Linked DNA regions of Schizosaccharomyces pombe. Changing the gene in region 1 together with any one later gene gives a genetic interaction. Each region holds a gene or a part of one and is shown on either strand. Other genes may lie near its edges. The genes, in order: psm1, alp14, wpl1 and sfr1.

The links.
Region 2: of psm1 (region 1) and alp14, extra expression of one rescues a mutant of the other (dosage rescue), as found in Schizosaccharomyces pombe (one study listed by BioGRID).
Region 3: of psm1 (region 1) and wpl1, a mutation in one rescues a mutant of the other (synthetic rescue), as found in Schizosaccharomyces pombe (one study listed by BioGRID).
Region 4: mutations in psm1 (region 1) and sfr1 impair growth when combined (synthetic growth defect), as found in Schizosaccharomyces pombe (one study listed by BioGRID).

What each region holds. Positions count from the first base shown.
Region 1 is NC_003423.3:2,538,738-2,545,657, reverse strand, and holds psm1 (mitotic/meiotic cohesin complex ATPase subunit Psm1/Smc1), read right to left. Parts: upstream 4,943-6,920; 5' UTR 4,916-4,942; coding exon 1,250-4,915; exon of another isoform or gene 1,204-1,249; coding exon 1,183-1,203; 3' UTR 501-1,182; downstream 1-500. Other genes in the region: exonuclease I Exo1, read right to left, coding at 1-109; histone H3-H4 chaperone, CAF assembly factor (CAF-1) complex subunit A Pcf1, read left to right, coding at 5,705-6,920. UniProt on the Schizosaccharomyces pombe protein: Involved in chromosome cohesion during cell cycle and in DNA repair. Central component of cohesin complex. The cohesin complex is required for the cohesion of sister chromatids after DNA replication.
Region 2 is NC_003421.2:1,009,925-1,014,867, reverse strand, and holds alp14 (microtubule polymerase alp14), read right to left. Parts: upstream 3,426-4,943; 5' UTR 3,107-3,425; coding exon 677-3,106; 3' UTR 554-676; downstream 1-553. Other genes in the region: SPOM_SPCC895.08C (uncharacterized protein), read left to right, coding at 1-220; elongator complex subunit Elp2, read right to left, coding at 3,992-4,327, 4,370-4,943. UniProt on the Schizosaccharomyces pombe protein: Required for bipolar spindle formation and proper chromosome segregation. Has a role in connecting the kinetochores and the plus end of pole to chromosome microtubules. Also required for the activation of the spindle checkpoint pathway.
Region 3 is NC_003423.3:474,055-478,355, forward strand, and holds wpl1 (WAPL family protein), read right to left. Parts: upstream 2,675-4,301; 5' UTR 2,467-2,674; coding exon 966-2,466; intron 957-965; exon of another isoform or gene 926-956; coding exon 873-925; exon of another isoform or gene 828-872; coding exon 573-827; 3' UTR 520-572; downstream 1-519. Other genes in the region: Rheb GTPase Rhb1, read right to left, coding at 1-9, 64-322, 382-443; DNA replication licensing factor Cdt1, read left to right, coding at 3,377-4,301. UniProt on the Schizosaccharomyces pombe protein: Regulator of sister chromatid cohesion in mitosis which negatively regulates cohesin association with chromatin.
Region 4 is NC_003423.3:1,578,550-1,582,416, reverse strand, and holds sfr1 (DNA recombination mediator Sfr1), read right to left. Parts: upstream 1,962-3,867; 5' UTR 1,730-1,961; coding exon 830-1,729; 3' UTR 537-829; downstream 1-536. Other genes in the region: hrd3 (HRD ubiquitin ligase complex subunit), read left to right, coding at 1-314; ERMES complex subunit, membrane tether and lipid transfer protein Mdm12, read left to right, coding at 2,469-3,290; SPOM_SPBC28F2.05C (xylose and arabinose reductase), read left to right, coding at 3,412-3,867. UniProt on the Schizosaccharomyces pombe protein: Involved in DNA recombination repair and meiotic chromosome segregation.

The DNA.
Region 1 (6,920 bases):
TGTGCAACCAAACATATCCATCAACTCCCAAAGTCTTGCCAGAAAACTCCTCGACATGAGAGCTTTTCTGCATAGGCTTCAAAAGTCCCAAAAGACCTTTAATTCCCATGTTTAAAGCATTCGTCAAGCACCAAAAGAATGCAGGTGCGTTATCGAGATGTTGGTTCTGTAACAGTTTTAACGTAGTACCCTTGGAAGTGTGTTGTGTATCTGATCAACAAATATATTCTTGCAGTCGATAGGCCCAAAACGAACAAGTATAAAATTTACTTTATCATTAAGAAAGGATAAATATAAAAGGCTTTGTTATTGTTTATGTGTGAAATAATTTAAGGAGCCGGCTATCATTGTTTGAGTATGCTGGTGTACTTCTTTTCTAAACATCTATTCAATCGAAATCATTAAAATCATGATAATACTATAAGTAAGTTTTTTTCTTTAAAGTTCTTTGTTTGAAATCTATCGTGATTGTTAACTAAGACTACGGTGAATCAATCAACCATTACCAAATCATTGAATTTAGCTGTATGAGGAAAACTCAAGCGCAAAATTAATATTTTAAAGTTCTATAAGCTGCGGTTTTAAAAATGTAGTGCGGTTAGCATCTAGTTGGGTTTAAACATATTTTAAACTATTCGTCGCTAATAAAACGTTTATTCTTAAAAGTATTCTTGCTAGTTTGTGACTGCAAATACTGTTAAACTAAAAAGGAAAATGCAATAGTTAGTTTCCGGAGAAAGCCTTCTAGAATAGTAGAGACTTCTCAAAATTGTATGCAGCCAAATTCATTAGTTAACAAACAGTCAAGGGGTGAGCCGAATCGTCTAAGCGTAACTGCGTTACTGGAATTATATTGAAAACATTAACCTCACTTAAACCCAACTTCCTTGAAACTAGGGATTAAACATAAACGTAGCTGACAATTGTGACTTATAATTAATGTTTCTATCATTAGCCCAGTCAATTCAGAGACAAAATCAATTAAGGACATAAAGAAAAAGCGTTGTAAATTAAAAAAGTCCTTGATCAATTATAGAAGGAAACTTAAAACAATTAAAATTAAATTCGTTAGAAATAAATAAATTACGCAAATATATATTTGCCATCCCTATTAAACATAAAGTATTCTTAGAATATATTAACACAGACATTAAGCAGCATATCACAGGTTAATATTATCATTTACTCCACATAACCTTCCAACTGTTTTTCGTTAGTATTTTAAAATTAAGAAAAAGTAATCCCTTACGTTGATTGATAATGTTCGTGAAGAATTCTCCTGTTGATCTCTATAAATACCCACTAAAGCTTCTGATTTACTGAACAACTGATTTTTCAAGGAAATGACAACAAATTGAAAACCGCTGGATGCATGCTGTCTAATATAGTTGGCAATCTTGGTAACGTTGGTTTGATCCAAAGCTGCATCAATTTCATCCAATACAAAAAATGGGGATGGCTGATAAGAGTGGATAGCAAATAGCAGAGCCAAAGCAGCCATGGTCTTTTCTCCTCCAGAAAGTTGATCCATATCTCTAAATCTCTTCATAGGTGGCATTGCATGGAACTTGATTCCTCCAAGATATGGCTCATCGAGGTCATCCAAAGTCAAATACGCTGTTCCACCAAGAGGAAAAGCAGGACTTTTGGTAAGTTCCTTATATATTGGATCGATTTGTTCCGAGATATGCGAAAAGGCAGCTTGAAATTTTTGCAATCTCTTTTGCTTAACGGCATTGAAGCGTTCTTTTGCGTTTTTGGCTGCTTTACGAGCAGCAGCAAATTCTTCATCTAACTTCGCCAAGCGAGTTTCTACTGTTTCAAGTCTCTCAATAGCCCTTAAATTAGGAGACATCTGATCCAGCTCTTCCGAATACTCTCTCAATTTTTCTTGAAGAACAGAAGCCATACTCTCAGAACCGTCATTGCGTAACTCTTCATCCAGTTCATCGTAATCCACTTCTACTCCAAATTTCTCAAAATTTATTACTGGTTCAGACGGCTCTTCGCCCATGGTGATATCACCGCTGTTTGAGACATCATCTATAGGTATGCTCGTCAAAGATCCTTCGCGTAACGGAACATCTATATCTTCTAGTTTGCATTTTCGTAAAATTGCGTGCCATTCAGATACATAGCGGTCAATCTCCGATTCTAAAAGAGTAATGTTTCCTGATAACTTTGTTAACTCAGACACTAATCGTTTGCCCACTAGCTTTTTCTCGGATGCAGCTAATAAAATTTTTTCAGTTTTAGAGTTCTCACTTGCAAAATCCTCCTTTAATAATTCAAGCTCAGCCTCGGCAGTTGCAACTTCTGATTCAAGTGCTTCCCGATTTTGCTCGTAATTATCAATAGATTCCTGATCTTTTTCAATGAATTTATGCATACGCTCTAATCGTAACCTGGTATCTGAAACACGTTGTTTTTCAAAACTAATACGATTTTCAAGTAATGATTTTTGCTTGGTGAATTCGAGTTGTTTTTGTGTAAAACTTTGAGTAAAAGTGCGATGTATCTCATCGTAAGTATGTATATCACTTATCCCAATTCGTTTGCAAAACCCGGAGAATATCTTTTCCTCAACCTTTTCTACTTGAATTTGAAGCTCATCTCTACTTTTAACAAAGTTGCGAAGTTCCATTTCCAATTCTGACAAGTGAGGCTGTTTTTCTTTGATTAAAGATTCGTAATGTCCAATTTCCTTTTTTTTGTCTTCCACGGATCTAGAAACTACTGTATATTTGTCTTTGAGTAGAGATATCTCAGATTCAAGACTATGCAACTTGACAGTATCACTTTCTGTAATCACACAAGATGACTTTTGATATTCTATTTCACCAATTTGATGCATAAGTCTATCTTTTGTTTGAGTAAGCAGATCAAAATCATGGTCATCCCAGTGTTTCGCCGACCGGTTGTTTGAAGATCCACCAGTAATCAACCCTGTTTTATGTATAACCGTTCCCTCTAAAGTAACTGTCTTGGCATTGAGACGTTTGTTATAGGAAAGGTCTCGAGCAACAGTCATTGAATCACAAATGAGTGTATTTCCAACTGCACTAATCATTACACGTTCATATTCAGACTCAAAATTCAAAACGTCAATTGCAAGTCGGGCGCCTTTGTGTGTTCCACGAAATTTTTGATTAACGGGACTGGCTGCTATGGTGTCCATTGGAAAAAAGGTCATAATACCTATGCGTTGCTCTTTTATATAGTCAATACACTCTTTAGCAACTGCCTGCGTTTCGACGACAATTGCGTCAAAATTTTTGCCTAAAGCAGCAGCGATTGCGCTTTCATATTTCTTTTGAGTAGGAGTACATAAGTCAATGATTCTTCCTTTGACTTCAGGATATATCCTTTTCAAAGCATACAATGCTTCTCTTTTTTTAGCATCCTGTTTGGATTCATTGCGGTCGGCACTTGCCTCTAAAATTTTCTGTAAACAAGATTGAAGCTCTTCATTTAATTCTTGTGTTTTATGAAAAAGCTCAGAATAAGTCAACCTCTTCTTCTGCTGATCATGCTTTTCAAGTTCCAAACTTTCAATCTTTTCATTTATTTTAGCAAGCAAATCCGCTCGCTCGGTATCAAGAGAAGAAACACTTTCATGAAGGCTTTTAATCTTCGACTCTAAGTCTCCAACGATGCTCGTTAATGAATCCTTTGATTGAGAAGTAACTTTAATATTCCTATTTAACGTCTGCAATTTGAACAATAGATTTGAGTTTAATTTGTCCGCCTCACTTCGAAGTCCTTCATACTCCTCTTTATCCTCTGGTAACAATCGCAACCCTTTGAGTTGCTCTTTTTCCTGCATGTCTTTTAAAAACTCTTTTTCAGCAGCTGAGAGTGAAGTCAATTGATTTTCTAATACTTGTAACGTACTAGCTTGGTCAGAATAATCTTTTTCTATTTCCGCAGCTTTTCTTTGAATTTTTCGGAGATTTGACTTAGACTCTAGGGCTTTCTCGGCAATTGAAATGAGCTCTGGACGTTTCGAAGCAATCAACTTTTCTTGTTTTCGAACTTTTCTATCGAATGCAAGAAGGTTTCTTCGTATACTGCCCTCTTTTTCTTTCAACTTTTCTATCTCTTTAGTGTTCTCATCTCGCCTTTCGATAAGTTGAATGGAATCTGCCTTTAATCGAGTAACCTCTGCCATATTAGAACTAATACTTTTCTCTAGATGAAAGAGTTTCCATAAAAGGTAAACTAACTGCGCAGAGTCTCGTTTTTCTTTTTGACTTTGATAACGCTCGGCTTCAGTTTTCTGTTCTTGATATTGGCGTAACTCAGCGTTGATACCACGTTTCTTGTTAAACGAATGAGCAGATAAATTTACAGCCTTGTCCTGCTCGTCTTTAGATTTATCGTACTCAGATTTATATTCCAGAGAGCCACTTATTTGTTCAACAAGCTTTGAAAGTTCTAAAGGAGATTGCGAAGCAATGGTTTCAACATCACCTTGAAAAACTAAGAAATTTCGAGCTCGAACAAGAATATTCTCCTTTTGGAGAGATCCGCAGTATTCAGAAAACGTAACTATTTCTTCATCAATTTTGTATTCAGTAGCACCAGAAGGAGTGATTGCGCGTTTATACTCTCTTTGCTCCCCATTATCCAACTCATACATAAGTTTCACATATGCTGTAGTAGGATTACTAGAATCAGTGAAATCTGTATTATCTCTTTGCAGTATTTTCCCCCGATAGATCAGTTCTTTAACATTAGTTGATCGTAAATGAGAAGACTTGACCCCTAAAACAAAAGAAATGGCATCCATTAAATTCGATTTTCCGGCTCCATTAGGACCGATAATCGAGGTAAAGTCCTCAAAAGGACCTATAATTTGATGTCCTCGATAAGACTTAAAGTTTTCAACTTCCAGTCTTAGTAAACGTCCCATTAGGAAAACTTGGTAAAAGGAATGTACAAGGTGTGTATGAAACTCGCGTACGCGTCTTTACTTGATTAGATATTGTTACCTACTCATTACGATTACATCTCATAAAGTTTCAGAAATCCACGATATAATATATAGTGCAACTTGATATTCACTGTAACAAGAACCTCGTTATTATGATATTATCCTTCCAGCGAATTACTATTCTAAGCTGCATAGCCCCTGCCTATATATGTACGATGCATCGTTATTGAAAGAAGTTTGCTGCATATAAATAGGAAGAAAATTGATGATAACAACATCCGTTTGTTTCATTATTAATGAATTTGTGGTACTCCAATCACCAGTTAAAAAATATGGCAAATAATTTCAAAGAAAATTCTCGTCAACTGATATTAACTCAATCATAATATAGATGAGCCATAAAATATTAACATTAATATCGTAATGCAATGTAGCAGTAATATTATATAATCGTAGTCAGGTAAAATATATAACAAATCACCATATTAACCCATTCGCAAAAAACTTTGATGTTTAAGCTACTCAGATCAATCAGTACATATCTTGTTAGAACTAAGGAATTAAATTATTCAATTATATAAGCGTTAAGATGGATGAATAATAGATTGGTGAGACAGATTTGGGATAGTGATGTATATAATAGAATATTAACATATAATTTACGAACTCTCCTTTATCCTCTTTATTCGATCAGAGCGTCCGTTAAAACAACTTACGCACGGTTTTTAGCCTCCCTTAGGCTTGTTATTGATATTCGCAGCATTGTCTATGAATAGTGAAAGTGTTGATTCAGATGTCGCGGCCTCTACTAGTAATAAGGGAAATGAGTTATGTAGCTCTTCCACTGACATTACGTCTTTATCAGTGAGTTCCCCGAATGAATCGGTTATTCATTCCAGTCACTCTGCAAGTGAAGCTGATGAGTACGTTTGCAAATTAAGTTATGAGGGTAATAGAAAGAAAAGAATTTATAATGGCTCTGCTGAAGCGGGTAAAGAAAAGAAGCTTCAAAAACAGCGGGCCCAAGAGGAAAGGATTCGACAAAAAGAAGCAGAGCGTTTAAAACGTGAAAAGGAACGTCAACAACGAGAGCAAGAGAAAAAGCTAAGAGAACAGGAAAAAATCGCCGCTAAGAAAATGAAAGAATTAGAGAAATTAGAGAAGGAGCGGATTCGATTGCAGGAACAACAAAGGCGGAAGGAGGAGAGGGATCAAAAGCTTCGTGAGAAAGAAGAAGCACAGCGCCTTCGTCAAGAACAAATCCTTAATAAGGAAAGACAACAATTGAAGTTAAACAACTTTTTCACCAAAGGAGTTGAGAAACGAATCGCGCCAAACGAAAATTTTGTAGCTGACAAAACGGATGAACTGAATGAGTTTGAGAAAGAGTTTCGCCCTTTTTTTATAAAGCATCAGATGTCCCTTTCCAAATATCCATCTCCGAACGAATCTGATTCTTTTTTGGATGAAGTCCTCTCAACCTCTAAATCTTATCCTTTAAAGCTAAACGACATTTTTACACCATCAGATGCTGTAAGCTCCGCAAACAGTTTAGGTGTTAGTAATAGAAATTCCGAAAACGAGGTTCGACAATTAATGAGCGCATATCAAGATCCATCTGTTTCAAAACCTCAAGAAATTTTATCTTGTTTATCACAGATTCCTATTAAATTCATTTTCTTTTATCAGGATGTTCGCCCTCCATATTTTGGATCTTACACGAAAACCCATTCCCATGGTTCTAACGTTTTATTGAATCCCTGGCTTGAAGATGAAGACATAGACTACACATATGATTCAGAAGCAGAATGGGTAGCTGATGAGGAAGATGATGGAGAAGATTTAGAAAGTGAAGATGAAGAGGTAGATAATTCCGATGATATTGTAGAGGATGGTGATAATGCTTTTGTGGATGATGAGGATGATGACAAGGATAGTGTCAATGCTTCTAATACCCATCGTTCCTCCGGCCCATTAGAGGTAA
Region 2 (4,943 bases), on another chromosome or scaffold:
AAAACTAAATGAGTGGCTAGATTCCTTGGATTTTAAGCTTCCTATATATCTGTTTCATAGGAAATTAGAGTCGGAATTGTCCCATTTACCGCCTTATTCCCCTTATCGTGATTCTTATTTCTACCTGGAGGACGATGATGGTGATGCCGATACTCCTTCCACCGCTTCTTTGGACTACTTTAGCAACATCAGTCCTCCGGACTTTTTGAACAAAGCTTAGAACTTTTCATTGGGCAAAGACTCATGTGATTGTTACTCTTTTTTCGACTGTCTGTACTTTACGCATATCTTTATTTTTTTTCTTCTAACAATTTCTTTATTATGTTTAATTTTTTTAAAAAGAGGTTTTCGTTTATACTTGGTACGGCTATACAGTATACTTGTGATGCAAAATTAAACAGACTACTTTTTTTAATGACACTAATACGTTTAATGCGATAAATTCGTACGTTAAAATTCTTTTATTTATTTTATATGTTTGTTTGTGTTGTGTGTTTGAGTTACCATTTGACTCCATCTTTAACCTATAGTTAAATCTGATTTTAAGAAATTTGGTATAAACGAGAATACGTATTTTGTTATTATTTTTGTAAACCGATATTATCATTATTCTAAAACATTAAAAAATAGAAAGGGAAGTAAGGGACATTGGAATGTAAACGAAAGAATTTAAAAACTAGTGAATCAATCCCTGATGTCTTTGGTCTGTTTGTTTCATCTCAGTAATTTTTTGTTTTAGTTTGGCAGCTAAATCAATGGCTTTAGTCCAATCAGGATTGATATTATTGGCCCTTGACGAAAACGGTGATCTTGGTAATTCAGCATGAAACGTGAAATTACCATTTGTTTTCGCAGATGCTAAAGGGGATCTCTGATTCACATCTATAGAGCTATAAAGTTTAGGTCTAGTAGGTTCAAATTCCCTCACTGAACGTTGAAATGAGGGACTCGTAGAGAGCTCTAAAAAGTCAGTATTAGCTCTTCGCATAAATGCAGGTTTTCTGTCTCCTATTGGTGAGGCTTTCCTGGCACTGCGTAAGGTATTTAATTCACCTTTCAATTCACTGAGTTGTTTTTGCATAGAAATATTCTCTTCATGTTCAACTTTCAACTGCTCTCGTAACTCCTCGTTTTCTCTCTTCAGAGATTCTAAAGACGAAATGGTAGAGTCATTGTCTTCTAATACTTTAGGGTGTTCATAACGATCAACTCGTGAATGCTTAGCCGGTTGAGGAGCCGGATCGTCCAACTCCATGTTCTTCAAATTTTGCACCGTTTCGTTAAGTGCTCCCGAATTCAAAGGAGTGGAAGCTTTTACTTTTTGTTGCAAACTGGAAGATGTGCCTCGTGAAAGCCCTCGAGAAACTGGCCTCGTAGTCGGTCTTGGTAACAAAGGACCATTCTCAAATGCATTACCCTTTGATACATCCATGGAAAGCGATTTGTTAGTTGCCTTTCGTGGAGATGGTACAACTGGACTAGAAGGAACAACGGATTTCTTGACAGCCTTAGCATTTGAAGGTACGACGACTTTTGATTCTTCTTGTTTTGAAGGTTTAACTTTCGACTTTTTTGTAGGTGCCTTAGCCTTTACTGTAGCTGTTTCATAAAAAGAACGAATTTTAGATTTCCTGATGTCGTCCAACGGACTTAAATACTGATTAATGGCTCTTTCACCAACGAGTTTCATCAAAACACCCAAGGCTTCTGCTGCCGCACTACGCACCGGCTCAAAGGTATCAGAAACACCAGGAACGCATGCTTTAGCACAGGTATCAACTGTAAACTTAGATGGTAAGGATGTCATATTACTGAAAGATCTCGAGAACAAACTAAAGCAGGAGCTTTTGATTTGAGGATTTTTGTTCCCGGCAAAGCTAGCAATGAGCTCGGCTAAGTCATCCAAACTGGATGTAGCCAAAACAGCATCCATCGCAGAAGATAGTGATTCGATTACATTAGCCTTTTTCTCTTTGGATCGTTCCAACAGTGCATTAATAGATGTTGAGGCATACTTCGAAAAATTTGAGCGTAAACCTTTAGCCATCGCTTGTATACAGTGTGCAGCATTTATAACCACCATGATATTTGCGTCTTTTGAAACAGACTTTGTGAGAATAGCAACTAAATTAAAAAAATCGTTGTCTTTGATCTTTGGTTGAGATAAGACAGGAAGTAGTTTGTCTAACGCTTCCTTACGATCCTTCCATTTCGAAGAAGCCATTAAAGTTTCCAGGTTAGGATCCACATTGGGTAAAACGTCCACTTCTTCTACCAAATCAAATTGATCATCTGACGGTTCTGGTTCACTTTCTTCATTCTCGAGAGCAGGTTGCTCTTCTACCTGTGTTTCAACATTCGGCTCTGATGTAGGTTGCTGACTTTTCAAAAAACGAGTTTGTTTGGGAGGCTCTGTTGGTAGCTCAGCAAAAAGAGACTCAAGCTCTTTCGTCTGAACTGGTCTTAGATCTTTAAATAGTAAATCTTTTAAAGGATCCCCTGTCCACCGATAAATGTTTACAGTTAAACGAGATGCTTCCTTACGAACATTTTTATCAGCATGACCAAACAAGTTGGAGATATGTGGAATAATCATTTTTGAAGGAATAACTTTAGCACCAAACTGCTCAACTAGACTAGCAATGGCAGCGACATTAGAAGCTATTACCTTCGGGGATCGAGCCGATAAAGAAGGAATGATTGATTCTATAACTGGCGCAGCTGAATCTGCTTCAACTAATAGCATAAGAGCTTCTAGTGCATTTTCCCTTGTACCTGCGCGAGGTGATGTTAAGCATTTCTCTGAAATTGAAAGGACTGATATTTCACGAGCTTTAAGTAAATGAGAAGGATCGGAAAACCTGCAATAAGCTACAAACGCTGCGGTACCAGCTTCTTGAGCTGCTACGTTGCTATCAGTCAGCACTGATTTCCACAATTCACTCTGATTATTCCAAAGCTCAAAGCAATTATCCGAACCATCTGCTGAAAGTGAAAACGATTTGCTGCACTCTTCATAAGCAGATAGACGCACTTTCCATACTTTATGTACTATTCTTGATTCTAGAGGAAGTTTGGAGTAGTCTTCTTCTTGATCTTGGCTCATGTTCCTCCGGGGTGCCAAAAATTAAAGGAGCGTATAAGATAAATAAACAGCAAATGCTCTCCCAAAACTCCAATTCTAAAACTCAAAAGTTGTACTTAGTACCTTTTCTCCCTTTTTTGAATAAATAATAAGTAATTACTCGTTAAGCCTGTAGGCAAATACAACACTGTCAAACTTTACAGAATATCGATTTAGCAAGGCCGGAGTATATAAGTATTAACTCGTTGAGTCAACAAATTCAAACCTGAGAAAATATAGCCTTTAATAAAAAGTATCTTTATTAAGACTTAGGTTTGCAAAATAGATGTTTGGAGTTGGTAAGTGTTACTTTTGGACACTACCGAAAATGCAGTCATTCAGTTGAATATAAATTACTTCCTAGCTTGCTCCGTTCTTTCAATAAATGTAAACGAGTAATAGAAAGGGAAAAAAAATAAACTAAATTTCGTAGAAGTAATCAATGTTCTTAGTTAGATTTACAACTTGCATTCTATTACGCTTGAAAATACTTCTTAGTTAAAATCTTGCCTTATCTACCTTTTAAATATAATTTATTTTTAAAAAAAATTTTTATGTGTTGTTTTTTTCTCTAACATGTAAAATTGTGTTTGAGTTAATTGAGAAGACTACTACACCAAAGTTTTTGATACTAATAATTAAAAATACATATTTATATATATATATAACAACTAAAGTAATGAATCAATCTGATGAATGTCTACCATTCAGCACTAATTATGCCAACCTAACAACCCATTAACCTTCCTTTTATTTATCGACAATTATAACAATAAATAATTTATCTAAGCATTTTTAACCACCCCTCAGGTATGTTTAAAACAGGCCAACCCAATCTAACATTACCAATTGTACTTATTTTCAAGTTTATCCCAACGTAACGTTCAAAAGTCGTACACTGGTATCTTCGCCAGCAATTAAAAGAGAATACAACCCCATAGTTTCAAAAGTGGGCTTCCATAAAATTTGGTTAATTGACTCCATAGGAGCCATGTGGTCTGGTAAACGTGTTGGGTACCATTTGGTAAGATTCTCTCTCGGGCATCTCCAAATAAATATTTTACCAGCTTCAGTTCCTACCGCAAGCAAGAGTTCATCGTTGTGAAAGAACGGAGCAAAGTCAACAGCGGTAACAGCATCAGAAAATTGGAGAGCAGCAACATCACATATTTTTTTATTGTCATTGATTTTCCAAAATTTAACCTAAATAGTTAGCAAGATTTGATCAAATAAAAAATTACTCACGAATTTATCACGCGAAGCAGTCGCAAAAAAGTAACCCATTTCTTTGGGAGCCCAACTAGCATCCCAAATAATACGAGAATGCGCTTTTATAGAAGCAAAGTTATTATAATCCAATAAATTTTCGGCTTGCTCATGCAAACACACCAACCGATCCCGCCCAGCACTTAAAATGTATCGGTCATCAGGTGAAAACTTTATAGTTGTAACCGTCAAAGAATGACCTTTAAGGACTTGCTGCTGATTCCATGACTGCGTTTCGTATAACCGAATGACAGCATGTTCGGGGGTTTGTGATTTACAAGAAGTCGCGGCAATATTACCATTATTAGATATGGCGCATGCATAAACCTCATAACCATGGCCGAATAATTTTTCAACTTCCGGAAACAATAGCAAACGCTGTAAGTGTTCTTCAAAAGGAGGATGGTTCAAAGAACCAATCACATCAGCAACAGGAGTCTGAACTTCTTCTGCATTTACCGTACCAGTTTCAGATGCAGTGGTAGCTTTATTAGAAAGACCTAGTAAAGGAACATTTGCAGCATCAGGTAAGCTTTCCTCCCCAATATTGGTA
Region 3 (4,301 bases), 2.1 Mb from region 1:
CTCAGTACCCTTAATAGCAAGTAGGTTAGTAAAAAATTTAAAAATTCTAATAATTTGACATACAGTGTGATTCAATATCTTGTCACGAACTATTTTAACCATCTCAAAAGAAGATTTGCTAGTAATGCTGTAAACGAGTACATAGCCATGGATTCCAATGGAATGCTTAGAATTTAAGATACTGTATTCATCTTGACCAGCCGTATCGATAATTTCAGTAGCAAATTCTTGACCCTTATACTTGATGTTCTTGCTGAATGTATTTTCAATAGTTGGATAATACGATTCAACGAAATGGTTTTCAACATATTGCACCGTTAAACTATTTAAAAAAAATGGTTAGTAAACCTATTTGCGCATAAACTTCAATCAAACGCTTACCTGGACTTTCCAACAGAACGACTGCCAAGAACAGCAATTCTACGAGATTTAATAGGAGCCATTGTTTAAATTAGAAAATTTCAAGATTATAATATTTAAAAAGGCAAATTATTAACTATAGAGTGATCGTAAAAAAAAGTGAGTGAAAGCAACGATGTTGTGGATGTCACGTTCCCAGCGCGCCGCAAAGGTCATTTTACCAAGTCACTGCGCAAGTAGTCTTGCAACGATTTATGTAGTTCATCAATTATAGAAACAATGGCTAGTCCATTAGAACCCATCATCATTAATTCCTCTTTCAATTTCAAATGAAAATTTTTAAATTTATGTAGAGATTCGTAAAACTGAGATATCAAAGGCTTGAGTTGGGCAAACGCTTTGGGATCATTTAAAAAGCAATGGCTTAAAATCATTACGACATATCCACTAATTTCTACGATACTTTCCTACATTTGTTAGAAATGTCTTACAACAGAAGTAGTACAACTTACGTTCTTTTGATAAAACGAAATGAGGACATCGAGTGCTGAAGCTCCGAAAGAAACTAAATAGAATTAGTAAAAATATTAATAAAAGGAACTTACCTTCAACATGAGTGATAGTTTGAATAAACTCATGAGATTCCTCAACTAGCCCTAGTAAAAGACCAAGGATTAAGATAATTAGTTCTCGTGTAGTTTCATCATCGGACGAAAAATTAGAAAACTTTTGTAAAATTTTATAAGCAAACAATGGGACTTCTGATTTAGAAACCGCTAACGCATGATCACTGTTAGAATTAACTGTTTGAATCAAAGTACGCAACAATTTTTCACTGCATGCATGGACAACTGTATCGTCAATTTTTGGTGAATTTGTTTCATTGTGTTCATCAATTAAAATTTGTAACTTTGAGGATAAGATCTGTGAAACCTTCTGAATCTTTTCTGATCCCTGGAAATCCGTAAATTTTTCTAAAGAACTACAAAGTGCATGAAGTAAGAAGTTATTGCTTCCATCGTTTTCCTTCAAGATGGGGTAGGATTTTTCTATTAAAAGATTGATTAATTCGGTAAACAACTCGCTTTCCGCAAAAACTCCCGAGGACGTCTTCATAAGAGCGATAGCTGCAAGACTGATAGAATCAGAAGAAGCAAGAGACTCATTGCTAAAACTAAAAGTAAGCTCTGCCTTTATAACGAATTCTTGAACGGCTCCCTTTACACTTTTTGGTAAGCTTTTTGCCAAAATTGAAACCGGTACCTGCGGTTCTAAAGTAATAGCCGTTTGCAAAAGAAGTTTAACATTGTTTGAGTAAGCATCAAGCAAGGAACTCATGCAATCCATTTCATTAGCCATAGTTGCAAATATATAAATCTGCAAAAAAGTGTGTAAAGTATCTTTAGGATCAATTTCTTCAAATATTCGCAAGAAGACATCCCGTATCGACTTTAAGCATAAACGAAATGAATTGTCAAACATTTTTTCAGCGATTCCTATTAAACTCAAATAGCGAGAAGCAGAAGAGTTACCTGAGAAAGTCACTCCGTCCACTAAGTATTCAATTTCATCAACGATCCTTTGCTGCTCTCCAGCAAAGCGAAGTTCATGTATACTTTTCATTTGAATTTCATCATCTTCTGATACGTCTTCCTCTATCAAAAAAGCACGTTCTGTACCAATAGTATGGTTGGTTGAATCCAATTCTCGACCAGAGGATACTTCACGGGGTACAATTGGCTGAGTATCTAATCCTTCCTCCATCAAATACGATCTTTGTTCCCGATAGGTAGTGGAAGAATGGTTTGCGGAAGCATCAATACTACTACAGCTCGCGGACCTTTCCAGTCCTGTCTTATGAGAACCGTACTTTGAATTCTGAAGTCCATTTCTTAAAATTTGTTTTACCGGTGAAGACGGTAAACTCAAATCAGGATTACTAACGACCCTTTGCTTTTTATGCAGTCGTTTAGACACGGTCTGTCCTGGCGAGCGCTTTTGCTTGTTTAACTCTGAAACTGTCACGTCTAAAAAGTTCCAAACTTCCGATTCCGAAGAAATTCTCTTCAAACCATTATCTTTTTCCTTACATTTTCCTCTTTTCATTTCAAGGTTTCTTCAATCCGCCTGGCTTGACATCGATTCTTTACAAAAATGGAGGAACACGGTCGTACCAACTCACAATGTAGCTTGTCGAGTGAGTGAAAACCTTCGAAAATAGAGCTTAATAACTTCTTGAGCAAAGAAAAAAGAAAATAGGGTCCTTGATGAGAAATTCGTTTTTTATACTCAGTAATTTTAGAATCGTTTTTCTATTTGTACTTGGTTGATTTCAATCGGTCCTTATAGATATTTGAGTCACATTGTTACTCTACCCAGTATAAATAGAAAAGACTTAGTCGATAGAAATCATACAGGGCATCTTTTTATTCATTTATTATAGCAACTTATCCACTGATAGTAAAAAAGTTAACTAAAAGTTTTGAATTCGTACAACTTATGGAAGACCATAAGTGGACGAGTGGCTATTTGACACAAGTTTGTTTTCAGAGAGCCTGAACTTGGTGCAACACCTTTATTATACAGAAATCATTGTGACATGTAACATATTATTGAAAATTTCGACAACGAACAACTCAATAATATCTCGCAGAGCAAAGGAGTTATTCAAAATTTATATAACGATGCATCCTGTAATAATTTTAAACTCGTATAAGAGATTCTATAAAAACTTCGGAAAATGAAAAGCTGTAGTTAAAAAATTGTTTTGTGAATTTTGTACAAGTGTTGGAACTTATTTATTCAATATAATCTACTGAATCATATAGGCTAAGTAAGACATAAACTGATTAGTCGGACAAATGTGAACTAGTTAGCAAGCGCGACACGATAGCTACGCGACGCGTCAACAAACGCGACACGCTCAAATTTAATATAACCCTCGATATAAATGAAATGTCGCGCCCTATATAGTCACGACAACAATATCCTTATTTTTGGATTTTGTGTTCAAATCATGAGCGCTGGATCGCAAACAAAATTGAACTTCTCTGTCCGTAAAACTCGATCCTCATCAAAAAGGTCGAATGCGGCCATTATTGAGCCACCCAAAAATCCTGAGGATTCTCAAATAATACCAGCTGTTAAAAGGCTGAAAGAGAACTTGGACACTGAGTCTTTAGAACAAAATGAGGTTTTACCCCCAGTTAAAAATGAATCAGTTCTTTTCTTAGAAAAGGTCTTTAATGCAGTCGACATATGTGTAAAATTTCACCTCTCCATCAATACCAAACCAACCTTTGTGCTGTTAGAAAATAAAGTCTCTGGTCTCACCAAAATCTCCTTAAAAATAACTCATCTCGCTCAGATTTTAACCGTATGGCCAGAGTCATTTGCTATTACCCCATGTTTTACTATTCATCAAGGAAAGCGTGTTGCAACATATGAACTGTCATACCCTCGCAATGCGAATCTTCCTGAAGCCTTCTCCCGCTCCATTGAATTTAAACGGAGACTAGAAAAATGGTTGTTAGAGCATTGTTCTGAAACTGAGATTCCTGCTCAACAGTTACAAGCTTTACCCAGTCTATCCAAGAATACTGTTAATGAAAGTTCACTAGTTCGAAAGCTCAATTTGGAGAAATCAACAAGTCGCGAGTTACGTATTCCCACACAAACTCTAGAACCAAAATTCACTACTAACACGGCAAAATATGCTAATGAGTTAGTCTCGTGTAGCATGCTTGACAGTTCGTCCACTTTGTCAAAGTCAGTGAATTCAAAAATCAATTTGAAATCCCATCAAAGTTCTTCATCTGTTCAAAATTCATCGCGTAAGCTAACATCATCTCAGTTAACTTTGAGACAATCTTCTCTGTTCGATCGCGTGCGTAAAAAGCAAAAAGCAATGGAAGCAAAAAAAGCTGAAGAATTTAAAAACA
Region 4 (3,867 bases), 960 kb from region 1:
TTGACATACTAAGCCCGGCAGGTCCGGACTCACAACTTCCCCCAGAACCACCAACACTACAAGTAGATCGTACACCACAACAACCTGACCCTCAAGAAACGTCTGAGTCCTTGCCCTCGCCTAATACTGAAGAGATGGGTGAATCCTATAATGATATTCGTTTCACTTATGATTACATTGATGGAAGGTTTTTGGAGACTGCGTGTGTCACGCTTATTGTGGTAGTTGTCGGACTGGTTTTAATGAGACGCCATCAACAGCATCGACTTCAAGAACGACGTGAGCGAATCATCCGTAGACAAAACCGCGCTTAATAAAAATTGTATCTTCGATTTTTTTGCGTTCTAATTTAAAATTTTGTTGCTCGATGGATGCAGAATAAAAAATATATGTATGTTAGGGTTCGTCGGTGATTAAATCATGCTTTGAATAAATTTTGTTTTTCATCTTTCAATTGGTTGATCTATATTTGTTGTCTGTCAGCCAATTAATCGACTTTTGTTGTTTGAATGTTAAATATCTCCAGAAAAAATTTAGAACCAGAAGGTTCAAAATCAAGAAATTTCAAATTAATGAGACATGTTATTGTATAATGCTAATAATTATATAAATTAAAGTCATAAACTCAGCCTGGAACGATTCATTGTTACATGTAAAGAATTTCGATACCAGCTCGGCGCAATTTGTATGTAAACGATTAAGGTACCTCTGTACGTTCAATTAGTATACCCTTGATTTTGGTGTAAGCTAGCTAAACATATTTAAGTTCGTACTAAAGGTTTTCTAACTAGTACGAACGAAAATTTTTTTAACAATAGTAAGGAGTCCTTTACGATTTCCAATCACCATTTTCTTCATCAAAAGACATCAAATGAACAGGAACACCAAACTGATTTAGAAACATACTCATTGTAAATTCAGTTCGTACTTCCTGAATTTGCCCTTTATTTTCACCTTCTTCAATACGAAAGGACTGAGTAACACCTCCAGCCAAACGAATACGTTCAGCCATTGGTTTAAAAAGTACTTCAGCGGCTTGCTGAGCAGCATTTTTCCATTTCTGTATCAACGTTTGCAAGTCTTTATCTTCATTTTTGGCTTCAACCTTTCGTGCAGTTTCGGCGGTTATGAGCTGCTCTTGTAAATTTCTGACTTCTTTTTCAAGTTTTAAACGACGAGAAAGCAACTGTGTGATTTCAGGGTCGGACTTTGGATTAAGGCAATTAGAGATAGGTGACTTGAAAAGTCGTTTTTGCCGTTTTATTGAATTAGGCGTTGTTCTTAAGGGAGAAGTAACAGGTTCTGAAGAAGTGTTTGTTTCATCAGAGTTAAGATTTGTTACAGCTAACGATGGTTTTAGATTAGTGTCTGCAACTTGAGGACTGGCAGTTTGTCTTAAGGGGCTTTTGAACGGCTTAAGAAGTATATTTTTGGCTTCTCGAGCCCTTTTCTTTGAAAAAGGTGTAGTAATTGGTAAAGAAGTATGTATTTTTGTATCTCGCAGGTCCGGCGTCAAAGCCTTCTCATTCTCTGGATGTACTGTTTCTGACTGCTCGATAAAACCTAGGTTATCTGAGTGATTGCCACTGTTATTGCATTTAGGAGGGTTTTCTATTCCTAACTGACCCTGTGAGTCACGTAAATCACTTTCGCTTAGGGAAACTTTCAAATCTTCTTTACACTGTGAAGTAGCATTTTCATTGAGTTCAGAGTTAATTGTTTGCGACATTTTCAGTTAAATCGTTTTAAAGTACTAATTCGAAGATGAAAGAGTGAATGTTAAATTATAACAAAGATGCAATGAAGCGCGTAACTTTTGTCAACAAACGCGTTGAGTGTAATAGTTGAATGTTTAAACTCTAACTTCAAATAATTAAATGAATTGAATATTAATTGTTATAGAAATGAAGAAATACCACAAATTCCAGATAAACGTTGAAAACGTTTTACTAGCAGAAGGTGAAAATAACAGCAAGCAACAAGAACTTAGGTAGAAGAAGACTGAAGCACATGACTGGTGGTTCCAAAAAATTAAATGTTTATACAAATTACGATAGTAATAAACTAAAAGGTTTATTAATTTACAAATTTGTTTTTTAACCTTTTTTAAACCGCGTAGGCTTTGTTAGAAGGTAATCTGGGAATACCACCTAACTCTACTGACAATACTAGGAGAAAAGATTTTGGTACCTACAGAAGGTAATATTTAAGATAAATAGATATCTTAAAAATTCACTTGCAATTCTCGATGAGTAAAAAAGAACATTGAAGGAAAGGACATTAAAATTGCTGGAGGATTTTGTTTAAAGTATCAAATTCATGCCGTCTTCGTATAAAATTTAGAGAACCGGTTTAAATATTATTTCATTAACCAAGTTGACGAAGAAATTACTTAAATTTTGAAAACTTGCTACAATCGTCATTGAGAGATTCAAGAGTTCGTATTTTTTTTTTACAATTGCAGAACAATGTCTATTGACTTTGATTGGTCAAAGTTAGACTCAGAATTAGAAGCAAAAGTTTTACATCTTCTCGAAGGACAAGTTTCGAATTTGTCGCTACCATCTTATATAAAGCATTTAAAGGTTGTTGACTTCCATTTCGGCAAAGTCTCACCTCAGATTACTATTCAAGAAATCGGCGATCCTGATCCCCAATTTTATGAAAATGAAGCTTTCGAATTAGCTAACCAAGAACTAGAGGGTGATCAATGCTCCCGCAATAATGTTTCACCAGTGCTTACGGATCTTCCACCTTACGCTGCTGAACATCCATTTTCAAGACTAGCATATTTTAATCCCGCATTTAATTCACCCGGGATTCTATCTGCAAGTGGACTCACAAGCCCAATTCCTGAAAGTCGCCCAAGTACTCCAATGGATAATCATCAAGAAAGAGATCGTTCTAACGATTTCCAAGTTACTGCACACGTATCTTATGACGGAGACGCAAATCTAAGCCTGGAAGCGGTTCTATCGATGAATTACCCGAACTCTGAATTTGCAGTTCTTCCATTCAAACTTTCATTTATTAGGATTTCCATCGATGCCATTGCTGTTTTGGCTAAAATGGGAAAGCGGACGCATCTATGCTTCGTTGATACATTGCTGCACGGAACTGGAGAGCATGCATCAAGTGTTATTCGAGATTTAACAGTGGAAAGTATTATTGGAGAATCTAATAAACAGCTGCTAAAAAATGTTGCTAAAGTCGAGAAATTTGTATCGGAAAAAGTTAAACGTATTATTGAGGATGAACTTGTCTGGCCTAGCTATATAACCATTGAATAATTCTTTACAATTATCCTAAATATATAAAAAATTTCCTTTAATCTCCTACTTAAAGGTTTAGGGATTTAGAAAATATTTTTGTCTATACATTGAGCTCTCTCATCTACCTCAACTTACGTTAATGAAACCATTTTCTCCTTCTCAAACCAATTTTGAAAAGGAACAACTTTGCTTTGGTGTATATCAACTTAAGGATTGCTACCAGCAAGTAATTGAGGCACTCTCGCTTGGTATTCGCGTAATTGATTCAGCAATTACATATCGAAATGAAAAAGAATGTGAACAAGCCATTCAAGATTTCTGCCATCAAAATGTGAATATTAAACGTGAAGATATCACCTTAATAACTAAGATTCCTGACTCCTTACAAGGATTTGAACGTACCTGGAAAGCGGTCGAACAGTCTCTTCGCAGAACAGGTCGTCCAAAGTTAGACGTCGTGCTAATACATTCACCAAAGTGGCCCGTACGCCGTATTGAGTCTTGGCGAGCACTATTGCAGCATCAAAAAGAAGGAAGGATAAACAAAATTGGAGTTTCCAACTATAATATTCATCATTTGGAAGAAATTATCAGT